Linked DNA regions of Schizosaccharomyces pombe. Changing the gene in region 1 together with any one later gene gives a genetic interaction. Each region holds a gene or a part of one and is shown in the gene's direction. Other genes may lie near its edges.

The links. Genes that interact genetically often act in the same process or in processes that back each other up.
Region 2: mutations in prp24 (region 1) and SPOM_SPAC212.04C together harm fitness more than expected from each alone (negative genetic interaction), as found in Schizosaccharomyces pombe (one large-scale study listed by BioGRID).

Annotation. Positions count from the first base shown.
Region 1 is NC_003423.3:4,133,211-4,142,705, reverse strand, and holds prp24 (RNA-binding protein Prp24), read left to right. Parts: upstream 1-3,467; 5' UTR 3,468-3,498; coding exon 3,499-3,730; exon of another isoform or gene 3,731-3,854; coding exon 3,855-4,120; exon of another isoform or gene 4,121-4,178; coding exon 4,179-6,725; 3' UTR 6,726-6,746; downstream 6,747-9,495. Other genes in the region: SPOM_SPBC1861.05 (carbohydrate kinase), read right to left, coding at 1-2,155; naa35 (NatC N-acetyltransferase complex subunit Mak10), read right to left, coding at 6,816-7,247, 7,293-8,987; ARS-binding protein Abp2, read right to left, coding at 9,421-9,495.
Region 2 is NC_003424.3:18,223-25,658, forward strand, and holds SPOM_SPAC212.04C (uncharacterized protein), read left to right. Parts: upstream 1-3,364; coding exon 3,365-3,854; intron 3,855-3,909; coding exon 3,910-4,286; 3' UTR 4,287-4,828; downstream 4,829-7,436. Other genes in the region: SPOM_SPAC212.06C (DNA helicase-like protein), read left to right, coding at 1-84, 127-335; SPOM_SPAC212.03 (uncharacterized protein), read right to left, coding at 5,367-5,756.

The DNA of each region.
Region 1 (9,495 bases):
CGTCCATACCCCAGCCTTTCGAAAGCAAAGCAGTGAAAGTACCGATAAAAGTATCACCAGTTCCGCTAGCATTTACAGGGGTTGCTATAACTTTTGGAACAGGGTAATACTTTACAGTCACATTTCCGGGGGTAAAAAGGCTGGCTGAGTTTGAATTCACTCCTTGAAGTTTCTCAGAGCTTATTAAAAGAGCACCATTAGGTCCTAACTTAACAATAATATTCTTTATGAAGGGAAGTAAATGAAAACACTTTTGTAAGATTCCGTTTTCTGTAATTTCTTCTATTCCTGTACTTTTCGTAAAACGCTCAATCTCATTATAGAAAGAGGAGGTGATACCAAAGCTGTTTAACTTCTGCCACCATGACTCATTCTCGAAGAAATTTCCGTCTTTCATAGCTTGAAATAATACATCGAGTTCAAACTTGTTCGGTGTTATAAAATCAATTGAGGCAACAGATAAGACTTTTAGTATCTTTAATGTTTTGGGACCACTGGTTGGTTCAAAAACGACTCGTTGCTTACTCGATTTAGATGTGGTTATATCTAGCATCAATGACGGTGAAATATTACCATCAAAACAAATGTACTTAGCGTCATTAAGATCATCCTTGATTTCTGAATAACTAAGGTTTTCCATGATGGCCATGTCAGCTCCAGCTAATAATAAATTGCCATTACAATCGTTGATAGCTGTGTATGAGCAAGAGGTAAAGTTACTTTTCTCAACAATGGTATGCTGCAAAGAAGACTTGGTAAGATACTCTTTAATAGAGGAAGTGGGTACGGATTTTGTTCCAACACATGAAACCAACTTCGTAGAAGCGCCCATTAAAGAAGAAGCCAAAGCCATGTTATGAGCAACACCGCCAAAAGCCTGTTCAGAGTGACAAGGATGAGATGTGCCAAGGAATTTAGATGTTAAAGGATTATCCAATTTCAAAACTGAGTCAATAGACACACTACCAACACATACAACTTCTGCAGGTTTGGACGTTGTTTCTGTAATTTTTTTTTTGCTCGACGAAACCCCTTTGTCACTCACTTTACCATAGAAAAAGTCTTGTTTAACCGGCTTCGTTTCAAATGTATTTCCGGTGTTGGTAGGGAAAAAAGAGCTTTTTTCTTTTAAAACAGCTAGTTCTTTTGCAATAAGGGAAGCCTTTTCGGCATTGTTTAAGACCAAATCAATATTAGTATTTAAACTTTTCCCTTTTGATTCTCTTAGAAGTTCTCCTAAAAGCCATGGAGTTACATTTTTACCAGTTATGCCAAGTTGTACACTCCTTTGCAAACAAGTTTCAATCAAAGCCTCCATTTTTTCGTAATCAATAGAACAATGGTGAGGGGTGGGAATGGCCACAAGAGTACCACATTCCTGGCCAAGCTGTATATTACTAAAGAGCATGTTAGCAATTAACTGCGGAGTTTCTAGAGAAAGAGGGCTCTGGAACTTGGATTCTCTTGAAAAAAATGCAGGGAAAGCCGATTTTGGAGGGCCTAAAGTGACAACAGGAACACCCTGAGTTTCTAATACTTCAAGTGTGCGTCCAATATCGAGTATACTCTTGACACCAGCACTGACGACGGCAACCCTTGTGCGACCTAATTCTATTAAATCCGCAGAAATATCCATGGAATTTTCTGCCCCACGATGAACACCACCTATACCGCCCGTTGCGAATACGTCAATGCCAGCTGCTCTAGCCAAGATCATAGTTGCAGCAACTGTGGTTCCACCATTGAGTCTCTGGGAAGCAACATAAGATAAATCTCTACGAGACACTTTATATGCTGTTTCACCTGATTTAGCAAGTTCGCTTAACTGAAATTGTTCAAGCCCTATAGTACATTGTCCATTTAATAGAGCAATTGTCGCAGGAACCGCACCCATGCTGCGTACCTTGCTTTCCACTTGAATTGCCAATTCTTCATTTTGAGGATAAGGCATTCCATGAGTGATGATAGTTGATTCTAAGGCAACGACTGGTACGTTGTTTTTAAGGGCTTCTGTCACTTCCTTGGATAAGGCCAGCGGACTATATCTTCTGCAAAGTATATTCCTCAATCCAGGGTTTGGATTTCTCTTCAGCCTTCTGAACCCCAATGGAATACGTGAAACTAACCGACAACCTCTATTCATAACGATGAGCATATAAGCAAGATGCTAAGAAAAATAGTGATAAATAGGTAAATAATATAGGACAAACGAAGAAAGCGTATATCAGATAATATTAAAATCGTGAATAAATCGTACTATACGCGCTCACTCCGCGTATCTAATAAACGTAAAAAGAATGAGTGGAATAAAGTTAACCCAAAATTGAGATTTAAAAAGGACGTATACTATTAGGAATAAAAGTTTAAGGAACAAAAAATGAAAATGCCAGAACGATCAGACGACGTTTTTTATATATAATCTACCTCGGCAAATCATATCTAAACATGGTGGTGTCTGATAATAAATGTACGCTTTCCCCATGGAAAAGCCGATCACAAAAAATGTTACTTCGCCGATATATGTCAAGATAACTTTATAGTAAAATGTAAATAAAAGGAGAGCAGGCAAACTGAATACTTTGCCGGCGCTCCGAATTTACTGATACAAAACTTGGAATTGAGTTTTTTTTTGAATTCTTTTATTTATTTTGGTGTCGAAAACAATTCATATTAAAGCAATAGACTTGAATTTTGAATGGAGTTGCAATAAAATGCAACTCTATTTAAAAAAGAACTTCTTTTATCCAGGAAACCAATGCCATGACCCTTTTTTATCTATTGTGTTTAATTGTGAAACCATGTTCTGATTAAAGTATAAATATTCATTCTTCTGAAAGGAACTGAATTTTTTATGATGTTTGCATGGCTTAATTTGTCGAATTGTTTCATTATTTTTATAAAAGAATTTTACATTATTTACTATATTTTTATTCTAAGTACTAAGAGGTTTTTAAGCTGACTGAAGTGTAAAATTACTTTACCCAAAAAATTATATTACTATCATTTTTACAGAAAAGATAAAATAAGGATCAAGATTTGCCAGACTTTTGAGTTTTACCATATTCACATAATCCAATTGACAGACAAGTTTACTATAATAAAACAAATGTATATCTGTTTACAAACTATTGTTGTTAATTCCCTCCTTCAGGAAAAAATGTATCACTTCATAAAATGGTTGAACTTAGGTCTATGACTAAAAGATATTAACAGCAAACTAAGTAGTGCTATCTTGTTCTGAAGCATATTTTTACAAGTTTTATTATTCAATCTTTTAATCTCTTTCTCCCTTTTAACAATGTGCCTTGTATATTAGGATCAACCTAGATTGTTTAATATTTTCTAGTATTTTAACGAATTGCTTTTTTACTTTTTTCCATTTAACTTCCCCTTGTTTTTTAAGACTTTAGTGTTTATCTTGAAATTTACTTGACATTATACGCATGACATTTACCTAAGGAACCCAGCAAAAGCCTAGTCTTCGTCGGTTTTGACGAAATGAGTCAAATACAAGATTTAAAAGATGAGAATGTCGAAATGGATATTGATCCACAAGAACAAAACGAAAAAAAGCCTTTGCTTCTGGATGAATTGACCAAATTTACGATTTTACATCCCTATAATTATGATAGTCATATTAAACTCATTGAAGAGTTAAAGCGTCTAGATAAAAAGAAGGAGTTGTCAGAGGCTAGAAAGACTTTTCAATCGATCTTTCCACTTTCAGAAGGTATGTCAATCAACAATCGTCTAGGTAAAGCGTGTTGAGGCGAATTCCATAGACTCGCAAAAATTATTCACTAATTACTTTAACTTTGTTAATCTTTTGACAAGCATTTATTAATGGTTTTTAGATTTGTGGGTAGATTACCTTTTAGATGAGTGCAAAAACTGTAGGACTTTAGACGACTATGTGAGGATAAAAACATTGTTTGATTTGGCAGTTCAAGATTATCTGTCAATCAAAATTTGGTGTATGTATCTTGAATTTACGCTAAACTTAATGGACACTTCTTCTTTTGAACAAGAACAGTCTGAATTAAACGGCGTTATTACTTTGACAGATGCCCATTCTCTTTTTGAACGTGCATACCAAACTTGCAAATTTCATTTTTCTAAAGTAAGGAACTAAAAATTTTCTTCATGATAAAAATGTATTTACTAATCAATGTTTACAGAGTCAATGTGTTTGGACGTTATATTTGGAATTTTTACAGACGTTCGGTGATGCTCTATTTGAGGGAGAAGAAGAGCAAGAAATTGTTTTTAAAAACAAGATATATGATTTTCATATTGATAGATTAAAACTTCCACATGAGCAGATTGAAGAAACGTTTACTTCTTTATCAACGTTTGTCACAAATAACTGGTCTCCTTCCGAATATGAGGATGTTATGGTGAAAAGCAATAAAGTGTATGAGACTACACTTAAAAGAAATGCAAAAATTTTTAATAAAGAACTATTGTTAAACAGCGCAAATCATTCTCTCGAAGCGTATATGGATTTAATTAATGATGAATCGCGACGCTCAACAGCTGAGTTACAATATATAACAACTCTCTATGAGCGTGCCATAGTTTTGTATCCCCTCATTCCGGAACTCTGGTTGCAATACACTGCCTGGCTTAGTAAAGTGGATTTTTCTTCTTCTCAAGCGTCCAGTGTAGCAGAACGAGCTACTCGTAACTGTTCATGGATTGGGCGTATTTGGTCCATTAAACTGACTTATATGACGCTTTCTGGAGCATCCACATCGGCTGTCTGTGAAGAGAAAGATCGATGTTTGAATTCAAATTTGCTCGTAAATTTTGACGAGGTTATTGATTTTTTTAGCGGATTTTTAAAAGCATGCCTATATTTGTCTTCTAATGAAGATAAGCCACAGGAATTTTTGAAACATCAAATTCATAAAGTCGAAGACTATTTGCGAAAAAATCATAAGGGATCAAAGGATGCAAGAATGCGCATTGAACTTTCAAAAATTTATTTATATTCAGAAATCTCTGATTTTGAAAGCGTAGAAAAGTGCTGGTCTGATATGTTTCATGATTTTCAAAATCAGGCATTATATTGGATTTCTCGATACATAAGTACGATGAAGTATAACCCAGAGCTTGCGGCTGAGACGTTAAAAAAAAGCCTTTACAAAAACGTTGATCAGCCTCAACTTCTGTTCCAATTTTATCAATCCATTATGGACCTTAATAATGACTGTTTCACAAACACATCACATTTATATGACGTTTTAAATGCACAGAGGATTAGCTTCAAACGTCAATTGGATTCTTTTGCTGAAGAAACGAAGCAGACTGTCGAAAACACCGAACCACTAAAAGTGCCTCAAGCTGATGATACAGCCGCCCTTTCAAAGAAAAGAAAACCTGGGCAAGAAGGTGATGTGTTCAAAAAGTCGAAACCTATTGAGCAACACAGGAATAGGGAAGAACTTACAGTTTTGGTTACCAATCTACCTTCCGATATAAGCGAAAATGAGTTGAAAATTTTTTTCAAAGATTGTGGTAATATTATACGCATTTTTATCCTCGAAGACAATCAAAAGGATGTTAAAGTGGCTCAGATTGAATTTTCTGAAACCAGTGAAGTTCTTGCTGCTAAAACAAGAGACCTTAAATCGATAAGGGGTCATGAAATTTCTGTTCAAATTCATGTAGACACGAACCTCTACGTTACCAATTTTCCTCCGACTTATGATGAATTAGATATAACCAAATTATTTTCTGCATATGGTAATGTGGTTGACGTCCGTTTTCCTAGTCTAAGGTATAACACGAACAGGCGTTTTTGTTATGTACAAATGAGAAAGCCCGATGAGGCACACAATGCCCTGCAGTTACATAAGAAGCTATTGGAAGAGAAGTATCCTATTCAAGTCTTTATATCAGACCCGCTTCGGCGAACTCCTAGAAGCGGTGCTGTCTATGAGGGTAGAGAACTCTACGTTACAAATATTGATTTTAAAGTAAATGAAAAAGACGTAGAAACATTTTTTAGGGATTATGGGCAGGTTGAGAGTGTTCGAATACCGAAAAGATTTAATCAACATAAAGGTTTTGGATATGTGGTAATGACTACAAATCAAGATGCTGAAAATGCACTTTCTGCTGCTGGAAAGCAATTGGGAAATAGAGTTTTGAACGTTGTTTTGTCGAAGCCTCGAGAATCTCTAGAGAAAACAAGGGTATCATCCAATGACAACCGAACCTTAGCTAAAAGCTTTGAGACTACTGAGTCAAATAAAATGTCAACGCCAAAAAAATCATTCGAACAAATCAAAAGCAAAAGCCTAGGAGTCACTAATGTCGACGGGACTGTTAACGAGGCTAGACTTAGAAGTTTATTCGAAAGCTACGGAAAGTTGTATAGAGTTGTTCTTCATCCTGAACATGAAGGTGCTGTAGTAGAGTTTTTGGATATTCATGATGCGGGAAAGGCATCCTTGGCATTAGAAGGACATGAAATTGGTGGCAGGTTACTACACATTACCACTGTCAATGAAATGATGCACAATGTCCCATCTAGTATGAATCATTCCGATTACAATACCTCTGCTACACGCCCACGGCGACTCGGAAGCCGAACGTTTCAAGGTTTCAATTCCAATCATTCCAATATAAATTCTAAGAAGGACGATTTAGACGATAAAGAAATGCAGATAGATGCACCTAAAAGCAACGATGATTTTAGGAAAATGTTTTTAAAATAGTCAGCAATAATTAGATTGAATGATTAAAAAAATATTGAAAACCTAACTTTTGATAATTTTGATTTATTAACATAAAAGACGAACAACACCTCATGTACGTGAAAGACTTGGGAGCGGATTTCCAGGTATTTCCACTATTTTTAGATTAGCACTATGATCTTTGGATAAGATTGCAAGTGAAACCAGATTTGTAATGCAGCAACATAATAAATTTTTTAAATAGTTGGTTTGCAAGAAATACGGGTTGATGAACTCATTCTGTTCAAAACCGGATTTTATAACATTAATAAGGCTATTCTTTGCAGCAGTGAATTTTTCATTAGATTTGATGATTAAATCATCCGTAGAGAAATTTTGAAGATTTTTGATTATGCAATCAGCTTCCGAACGAAGTAGTGGCTTGGGTTGACGCAAATTAATTAAAGGACGATAATGGGCCATGTAATATGACTCTTGAATTTTTTCATCAAGAGTAAATGAAGGAGTTTTAATGATATTCAACCGCATACAAAGCACCGTCAGCTAAAATCGTTAGAATAAAAAAGAAGCGATAAGCTTTATACATACTAGTAAATAGCCAGAATAGGTCTCCTTTATAGCATTCAATATTCGATGCAAATATGTAACAAAGGTTTTGGCCATAGGTGGGGTATTACGATCCTTTCCATGAAGCTCTAAATGAGTCTGGTGGATAGAAAAGACATGATCAAGCACAGCAAAAAAATGGGGCCATTGATATGGTTGGTGAAGTTTTTGTTCAAAGGAAGAAAGCAAGATATGCTCAATTGCATTTAGCTTAACATGGTAAATAAATGATGAAAACGGTCCATTACTTGGTAGGCTTTTTGCTACGAATTTCAAATCAAGCGCTTCAGCTTCAAAATGAGCAACGGTAATTTCAGGAAGTAAATTTATTAGATTACGGCGGAACCGACAGGGATTGTGGGAACAAATTCGGACAAGGTCAACCATGATATTAGTTGAATGAGCAATCAAAGACTCAACTAGCGGACCATAGGCTGATGAGATAGAGTTTTTTTCGATTACTGTACGGGTGTTAGGATTATAAAAATTTGAAGGAAGCCCAGAAAACTCACGAATACATTCTAACATATACGAAGTAGGTTGATCCCTTAGATTAACTGCATTGTTAGCAGTGATAAGTGCTTGAAGGGAGGAACGGACGTAAGGCTCTGGAGTACGATTCAATCTCGTAAAATCTAAACAAAACTGATATACTGCCAAGGAAGAAGCGAGAGTGTGGCTATTCAAAATCAAAAGCATATCATCAGCAAAATACAAAATTCGTTGATAAGAATGCTCAATGCCAGTAGGAGGAATATTCCTCACAGGAGCTGTAGCAACTAATTGGGCTTGGACGCGAAAATCCCAATATTGCTTTAATATGCTCTCCTTGATAGATGAATCAACTACCGAAACCGTGTTCTGAATCTCGGGTACCAAATTTTTGATCAGATGGAGAGCATCGATGGTGGTCTTAATATCACTCCTTTCATACACTCGTAAAATACCAATTCGAAGTTGTATTCTATTGAGAATTCCCTCGATAATTTGTCGTAACTCGGCAGAAAATTTTATAACCTCGGAAGCCAAATATTCGATGCTAGATTGCAAAAGATAATTGAGTTTTTCTATGGGGTAATTTTGAAGAAAGGACATGTGATATGAAAACGAACTAATGTCTTCCTCGTCATATAAATTTCCCATCAGAAATTCTCGATGAACAATATCGCAACATTTAATAACAGCCAAAACAAAAGGGAAAAGAACGATGTCAGTTGTATTCCTTCCGCTACCACTGGAGAAGCCACTGTCACCCACTTGTGAAATAGGCGACTTGCAAATGGAGAACACATGGGCACTACAGAGTAAGCTCTCTGATAAGGGGGATCCATAATGCCACTCTTTTTCCGCAGAGACAATTAAATCCATTAACGCTAATATTTCCAAGTAAGAGAGATCACGTGAAAAATCTACACGAAGTGGCTGATAATCAATCCCACTATCCATTTTCGGTTCCATAATTTCAAAGGCACTGATTGAATCCAATAATGTAAATTTTGGATCACATACTAGCTGTTCCTCTTTCAGAGATTTCGTGGCTTCAAAGTAAGACTTTGTACAGTCGACATATCCAGCGTTATCAACATAACCTTCGTTCCCTTTGGCCGGTTCCACATTTCCAATCTTCACATTTCCTTGCATAGAATTAAGCAATGATAGGGACTCTTTAACAGACATAAAATCGACAAAACACCCCTATATTGACCAATTTTCTATTGAACGTCTAGTTTATGGGTTAATGAAAAGTGTTACTCTGTAAGTCACAACAAAAATTCCACGCATAAAAATGCTTGTTCAATAACATTTTCGAGAGTAAATAAGATGGTAATTTTTTCAATAATAATAAAAACAATGATAAATCCAATTTGAAATTATTTTACTTGTATCTGCAAAGGTAAAAAACTATCTCGATGGTAACCCATCTCACCTAGCAGTAGAATATCTAAAAACTTTTTATAAAATAAAGAGAAGGAAAACAAAATAAATACTTTAAACAATTATGCTTTTTTGAACATGAGAATTTTGTAACTTTGAAATTGCACCAGTTCGTGGAACGTGCAGTCGCAAAGTGTACTGCATAAATAGATACATGCATGGAAGAATCGTGATTTCAGTCAAACACTGCATTCATAATCTTTCTCTTTAAATTTTCGAGTTCTAAATTTTTTTCTTTTAGGGCCGCATT
Region 2 (7,436 bases), on another chromosome or scaffold:
ATTCGATGAAAAACTTTCTTAATGATAATACGATGTGTGTTCGATCGTTTCTCGCAAGTGAAATGGATGGCGAATGTGTATGTTGTGCATCGTTTGCTAACTGTGTTTACTGCTCAAGATGCTCAGATTCGTTACTTGGTGAAGAATCAACTGTGTCTACGATGTATGGAGTGAAACCGACATTGCCAGAAACACCGAAACCAGCCATTGCAACACATTCGCGTTATAATGCATCGTTTTCGTCTTCCCCCCCACCACAGCCAGGGAGTAGCAGTGGTATGAGTGCTATGAACACTAACACTACTAGTACTACGCCAGTGTCTGGTAAAACTTAACTACACATTACGCTGAGAGGTAAAATACTCTGACAACATTCGTTCGATTGTATAAAACAAAATCCAGCCGAAACGATTGTTGTCAGTAATCAAGATTACGATCTAAATTGAGTACCAAGACAAAACGAAATGGTTAAAAAGTTAAAGTCGTTTTTGTATGGACACAATTTCTATAAAATAGACATGAGTAAAATCTCGCTATTTGTTTGTTATTGTGGAATAATGAAGAGTCATGGGAGATGAATGTTGTAAACGATGGCATAGAATTGGTAACGAAAAGTGAAATCGTTGGGATCAACTATTTCAGTATTTTGTTTAAAGAAAATGTTGAACTCGACAAGTAATGAGAGGTGGTGCTTTCGTTAAATAATGAGTGGTGGTTACGGTTATACAGGATATGATATGTGTATGGTGAGAATGTGATGTATGTATTTGAGTATAGACAATCAGAAAATCTGTAAATAATCAAGTCGCAAGAAAAAATGAAAATAGATATACAAAGTAAAGAGATGAATGAAATGACAAGGTATCGTAATGAAAATTGAAATTGTTGAAGACGAATAGATGAGTAAATGAGTAAGTGAGTAGAGTAGATGAGTAGATGAGTAGATGAGTAAATAAGTAAATGAGTAAATAAGTAAATAAGTAAATGAGTAAAGAGAGTAATCGTTTGAATAGGACGACGATGCTCACTATTGATGATGGGTTGGTTACAGTTACATGGTTGCATTGGATATGTGTAAGGTGATAATGACGATGATTAATAAGAAATGGAATAAAGTGTCGCTATTGAATGAAAATGAAAATGAAATGAAAATAATGAGTCAGTCATATTACAAGTAAGACGGTAGATAATAAAGAATAGTTATGTAAGTTGGTATTGTGAAAGATGATGATAGAAAATAATAATTGATGAACAGATGAGATAAATAAGATGAAGATTTCGTTTGAATGAAAAGTAACGGTTCTATAACATATGAAATGAGGTGAATGGTAGTAAGATAGATAGAATAGAGTAAGATAGATAGAATAGAGTAAGATCGATAGAATAAAGTATGGTGATATAAATAGAGATATACAAATACATTGCGAGAATGTAAATAGAAAAATAAACAAGTGACTCTAGTAAATCGAAATAAAAAAAAATGCAAAGTAGCTGGCAGTAAAAGAGTACGTGTATGTAGGATGAAAACAGATGTTTGTTTTTGATAAATATTAGCTTCGTTAAAAAAAGTTAAGGGTACGATAAAGCCAACTGAACGACGTATAGTGATGAATAAGAGGAGTAATAGTAAGAAAAAGGAATGTCAATTAGAAAAAGGAATTTCAAGTAGAAAGATAGAAAAGAGGAAGAGGAAGAGAAAGAGAAAGAGAAAGAGATAGAAGATGAAAATATTGGAAAGTAGATGATGAAATTAGTGCATTCTATTCCACTAAAACAAATCAACTAAATTATTGAAAAAACAGTCGTTACAATTACTGGTGATATATCAGCTGGCAATGAATATGTCAAATAGGAATTGAATACGATAGAGAAAAGTACAACTTTTGTTATTGTTATTGAAAGTAAAAAAATAAAGTAGAGAATAAAGTAGTAACAGATAATGAAACAATAATGAAACAAATAGAGAAAAAGATTAAATTTCGTTAATTAGAAGAGAAAATGTTTGAGTAATAATAAACAAAAAGAAGAGTGATATGTCATGTTGTAGAATGAATATAGCGACAAAAATAGAAAAGTATATGAAGTTGAAATATTATAGATAATGAAAATAATGAATAATGAATAATGAATTAATATATTATACAAGTTTCGCTATTTTGATAGAAAATAAATAAATATACTAAATAAATAAAATGAAAATTAATCAAAGTAAATTAAAATAAAACAAAAAAAAATTAACAAAAATATTAAAACTTAATAAAATAAAATAAAACAAAGTAAATTAAGATAAAACAACATAAAATTCGATAAATTATAACTTAACTTTTTTTTTTTTTTTTTTTTTTATTTACATTTTACTCTTTTAAAGTTTTCAAAAGATCTAAAATAATCTAAACTAAAAAGCTTCTGTTCTAATGGTGTTCTAGATGCCTTATTGTTCATCTAGAACAAAAAAAAAAGGAAGACTAAAAATTAAATTATGCTAACATAAACATTTATGAAAATAGCAAAATAGAAAATGTAGGAAAATAAAATTTTGCTGCATGTTTATATCCTTGGCTGGAATCTTATATCTCGGCCATTGGGGTCTACAAGATTTTAATTATGGCTTTCGGTTTAAAAGTTGAGCCATCGGGAGGTGGTGTCCTTACTTCTGACAGTCTTCCTACACATAATGGAAAAACGGCATTACAGTCAGATGCAACAGTTGGTTCTGACATTCAACAAATAGAATTACAAAATATGCCTACTCCTGTGAAAAAATTAATCTTTATCGTTTTCATGATCATATAGAATGTAATCATCCTTAGCAATGTCATAATTAAGGATTCAAATTATACAATGATAGATGATACAACAATTAAATAGATCTCGATGATGATTTATTAAAGTCTATATTGTTTGCAATACTATAAATAGAGACACAACTGAACATCGTTCCTCAGTTCAGTTATTTAGCTATATCGGTGACCGATACCATTAGACTCCTTATAACAATAATTATAACAATTGTTAGTTAGACATACCGCATACCACTAGTTTGTAGGTCGCAAAAGAAACTCACCGCTATTATACGTATCGTTAAACAGATACCAAACTGCGTAGCTGTTAAATTGTGAAAAGAAAAAGGTTGTAAGGATTACGAGATGCCAACATCATAATGCTTTTCCTAAATAAATGAGACACCTCAGAACGTAAAACATTCACCATTTTGGTTTTTTTTTTAATTTTCTCGTTTATGGCTTAAAATATTTTAGTATATTTTCTTTTTTATTTTCCATAAACCACTCTTTTTAATTTTACTTTGGGGAAAAATACTAGTGAATCAGAAGTCATCAAATTACAGTGCTGTCGTTCTATTCCAATGTCAAATCCAGAAAGCTTGAAAAAACAGGTTGAACCTCCTGGTTACAATGAGTTATTTATGGTGGAAGATGTTTGTAATGTGGACCTAGAGCAGGGACTTGATTTGTGTAAGCCTGAAAAGGTAAACAAACAATCTCAACGATCTCGACAATCCCGACAATCCCTCTTTACCAACACCATTAAGCCTCAAAAAGACAAGATGAATATTAAAACAAATAAAATAAAAGAGTTTTTAAATGACCTTTTTACTGAATTTTCTAAATTCCACAATAGCTATTATCCTAATGGAAGAATTTCTACTCAGGACAAATCTCGATGGGTCTTGCTTATTATTTGGTCTATTATCACTATTTTAACAATAGACAAGAAATTTAAAATAAAAGAGTCATATTTAGAATGGATAGGTGAAAATCAGTCCCACAGTGAAATTTGGGGGCCTATTGTTATTTATGTTGGCTTATTCATACTCTTATTGTCTGCTTTTAACTGTACGTTTCCTTCACACTGAAGCTGTTTTTTCTCTTTACTAATAGTTTATTGTAGACTGCTCCAAGCTTATTATAAAAGCTCTACCGTTAATCAGTATGGTTATAGCATGGGTCGGTGTGGTTATAGCAGCGTTCAGTGTGATTATCACTGCAACAATAGCAGGAGTTATAGCAGCGTTCAGTGTGATTATCACTGCAACAATAGCAGGAGTTATAGCAGCTATGGTTGGAATCTTATATTTCGGCCATTGGCTGGTCTACAAGATTTTAATTTTGGCTTTCGGCTTTAAAATTGTGACATCAGGAGACGTCTGTGTTTCTAACACTCTTCCTACACATAACGGAGAAACAGCATTACATTCAGATGCAACAGTTGGTTCTGATATTGAACAAATAGAACTACAAAATATGCCTACTCCTGTGAAAAAATAATTTTCTTTATCGTTTTCATGATCATATAGAATATAACTATTCTTAACAATGTTCGAATTGACTGTCCTGTCCAAATCATGCACATAAGGTGCGTTCGTTATGAATTTCAATTATGGAACCAACCAGAATCACCTCACAGGTGTTTCATTAACCAAAATTTATTAATTGGTTTTAATTAAGATATTATCACATAATGTTACTAATGTTTTTATCTCTCGTTTTATGCTTAATCAAATACTATGAATGTCATTTACTGCGTTTACAAAATGAATTCTTAATGATACATCATGAATGACTCGTTTCTAAGGTTATGTGTCTGGAAACTTGAAAAATGCAATGTAGTATATGCAAACTGATAAGTCGCTTATTTATTAATTTAATAAATTTCTGAATTGCAAGTTAAATTCTGGTAGCAAAGAATTAAATTATTCAGAGTCTTTCTAAAATCACTGTTTTTATATTGACATCCTCACTAGATTAGCTTTTCAACAATATACTGCTGCTACAAAAAAATAATATTCCTTTTTTCCGCTCGTGCAAACGAAATTTCAATTTGTTACTTCTTAACCCCTATTTAGCAGACGATAGCTATTTATTAATCAACGGATTTTTTTGCCGGGTTTCGAACGAACTGTAAATTAGATAATGACAGGATGTAAGAAGCAAAACAGTATATATCATTTTTTCCTTTATTCAATTAAAATAGCAAAGAAATATTATATATAAAGTTTATACACTAAGTATATTAGCTTTTGAATTACTTTTTAAAATATGGAAGATCTCGCAACTCTTAATAAAGCTAATTCCTGCTAATTCGCTATACACTAAATCTTAATAAACTTGCTTCATTATTTTCTCGATAAATATTTTATTTATAACAGTTTGTTAAATTGACAGGGTCCTTGCTAAGTTTCTATATACAACATAAACATACTATACGAAATAACATTTTTCTCAAGGTATGTAGAGTATAAATGCTCCAACGTGGCACAATTTCATTTCGTTTAGTTTACTAAAAACCCATATTCGCGTCGCACTCACACAGAATCTAGAGTTTAGTACATTTTACCGGCTCAACAATTAACCATTCAAATTGTATTTCAAGTATGAGTAACAATCGAATAAAATATTGTATTCTTGCTTTCCTATAAAAGTATTTTGATAATCGTAAAGCTGGGAATACCATTTGCCTGTACTTTGGCAGTTATGGTGCTGCCATGTTGCTCCTTTTATAGTTATATCCTGTATGTTAAAAACTTTTATGGAACTATCGCACTTCTGTTTAACAGCATCATAAGCCTTAAATGCTAAATTTCGATTATTAACTGGTATTCCTGAACAATCACGTATACCGTTTTTGAAGTCTTGGACCATGAAATCGTCGCCTGAGCGTCTATCAAACGCACCTAATTGCATCAGCTGAGTCATGTTCATATTATGTCTTGAACTGTCATCGAATTCAATACTCATAGTAGTCAACGCAAAGAGAGATACTGAACATATTGGCACATCATCTAAATTGCCATTTCATAATGAAAAGCAACCCTTCTGACATTCGTTTATTTAAAGAAACACTCGTCAATCAAACGTGTGTAATCACCATCATTAACTTCGACTGTATTAAATAATACAAGTCTACCCAAACTCAGTTATCGTTCCGTTAGTCACATTACTATATGCATTAAAACAATCAACTACTGCCTATCTGAACTCAGACGAATTGGTATTATAAGCATCAATAGTTAGGACACACATTATGAGTAATAAAACTAGAGTAATCATTGCTATATCGAAGAGTATAACTTATTTGGGTTGAAAACTATCACTAGACGTAAAATCTAATATACTAAACGAGTTAGGAGGTTCAGTTGTAGTTCTTTATTTATCATCTTTTCTAATGATTGCTATCATCGGGTATTCTATGTAAGTAGACAAATTTGTAATACATTTACGTTATTCATTTCCTTTCCTTGAAGGTGTTGTAATATTCAATAGATCCCTTGAAAATTACATCAGCTCTATAAAGGTTGGCTCATTGCTAAAACTCAAGTGTTGCTCAAATGGTTTAATAATGTCAGCTACGCAGTTTTGGTATCTGTTTAACGATACGTATAAGTACGATGTGTTTTCCTTCTGACCTAGTATATTACAGTACACAGGTAATATAAGTAGCACCTTCTATAGATATTTATTAAACTGTTACCTATCACTGTAATAGCTTATTACAGAACTGAGGAACGAGGTTAGTTCTTCTCAATTTATGGCATTTAGAATTATTTTTATTATTACGTTTGATTAGTTTTGTTCACAACTAGCAATATGTCTAAATAACTTATCGTGTAAAGTTGATAGAGCAAATAGAACACGTAGCTCAGAAAACACAATTCCTCTAATTTAATCCTCCCAAGTCCACGACATACCCACTACAGGTTGGTCTCTCGACTGATGGATAGAGAGTCTATCAATCTTGTATTCTTAGCGGTGAACCACCACCATCCAAAAAACTAGTGAACTACTTATATCTTAGTAATGAGTCGAGTAACAAACTTTTTACGATAATGATACTATGAAGAAGCATCTACCAGTTGTGCATATGTCAAAATAGCGTTATAATTTTATAACATCACACAAATATATTAATCGAATAGTCCTAAGTCACACCGTAGTTGACAAAGCGGCGTTGCTAGTTCCATAAGTAATATTTGTACGAGCATATACGATTAATTGATTCGTAAAATATGATCTTTTTATGCTAATACTATTATTCATTACTGTCTACCATATTTTGTAGTTCATCATTATTTTATTTATACAATTACTAGCTTTGATTTTTGAATTGTTATTTGGTTATTGATAGCAATTGATATTAAACGCTTATTCTTTAATATTATTGCACATACATCGTATTTACTGAATATGCCGGATAAAAACAACAGACTTGTGTCCCCGTGATCTAATAAGTTTAGTTATGTGCATCTTAAATACCGGCACAATTATGATGTGGAAAGCAGTAAAAAACATTTCCATATCAGTATTCGTACTTATTGCTGAAGAAGACATATAATTCTGATTTATTTCTGCAGATACATGTATTCATGAAACCTAATGTAAAATAACAATCATCTCCGGCGCAATCGTCAATGCACTAAG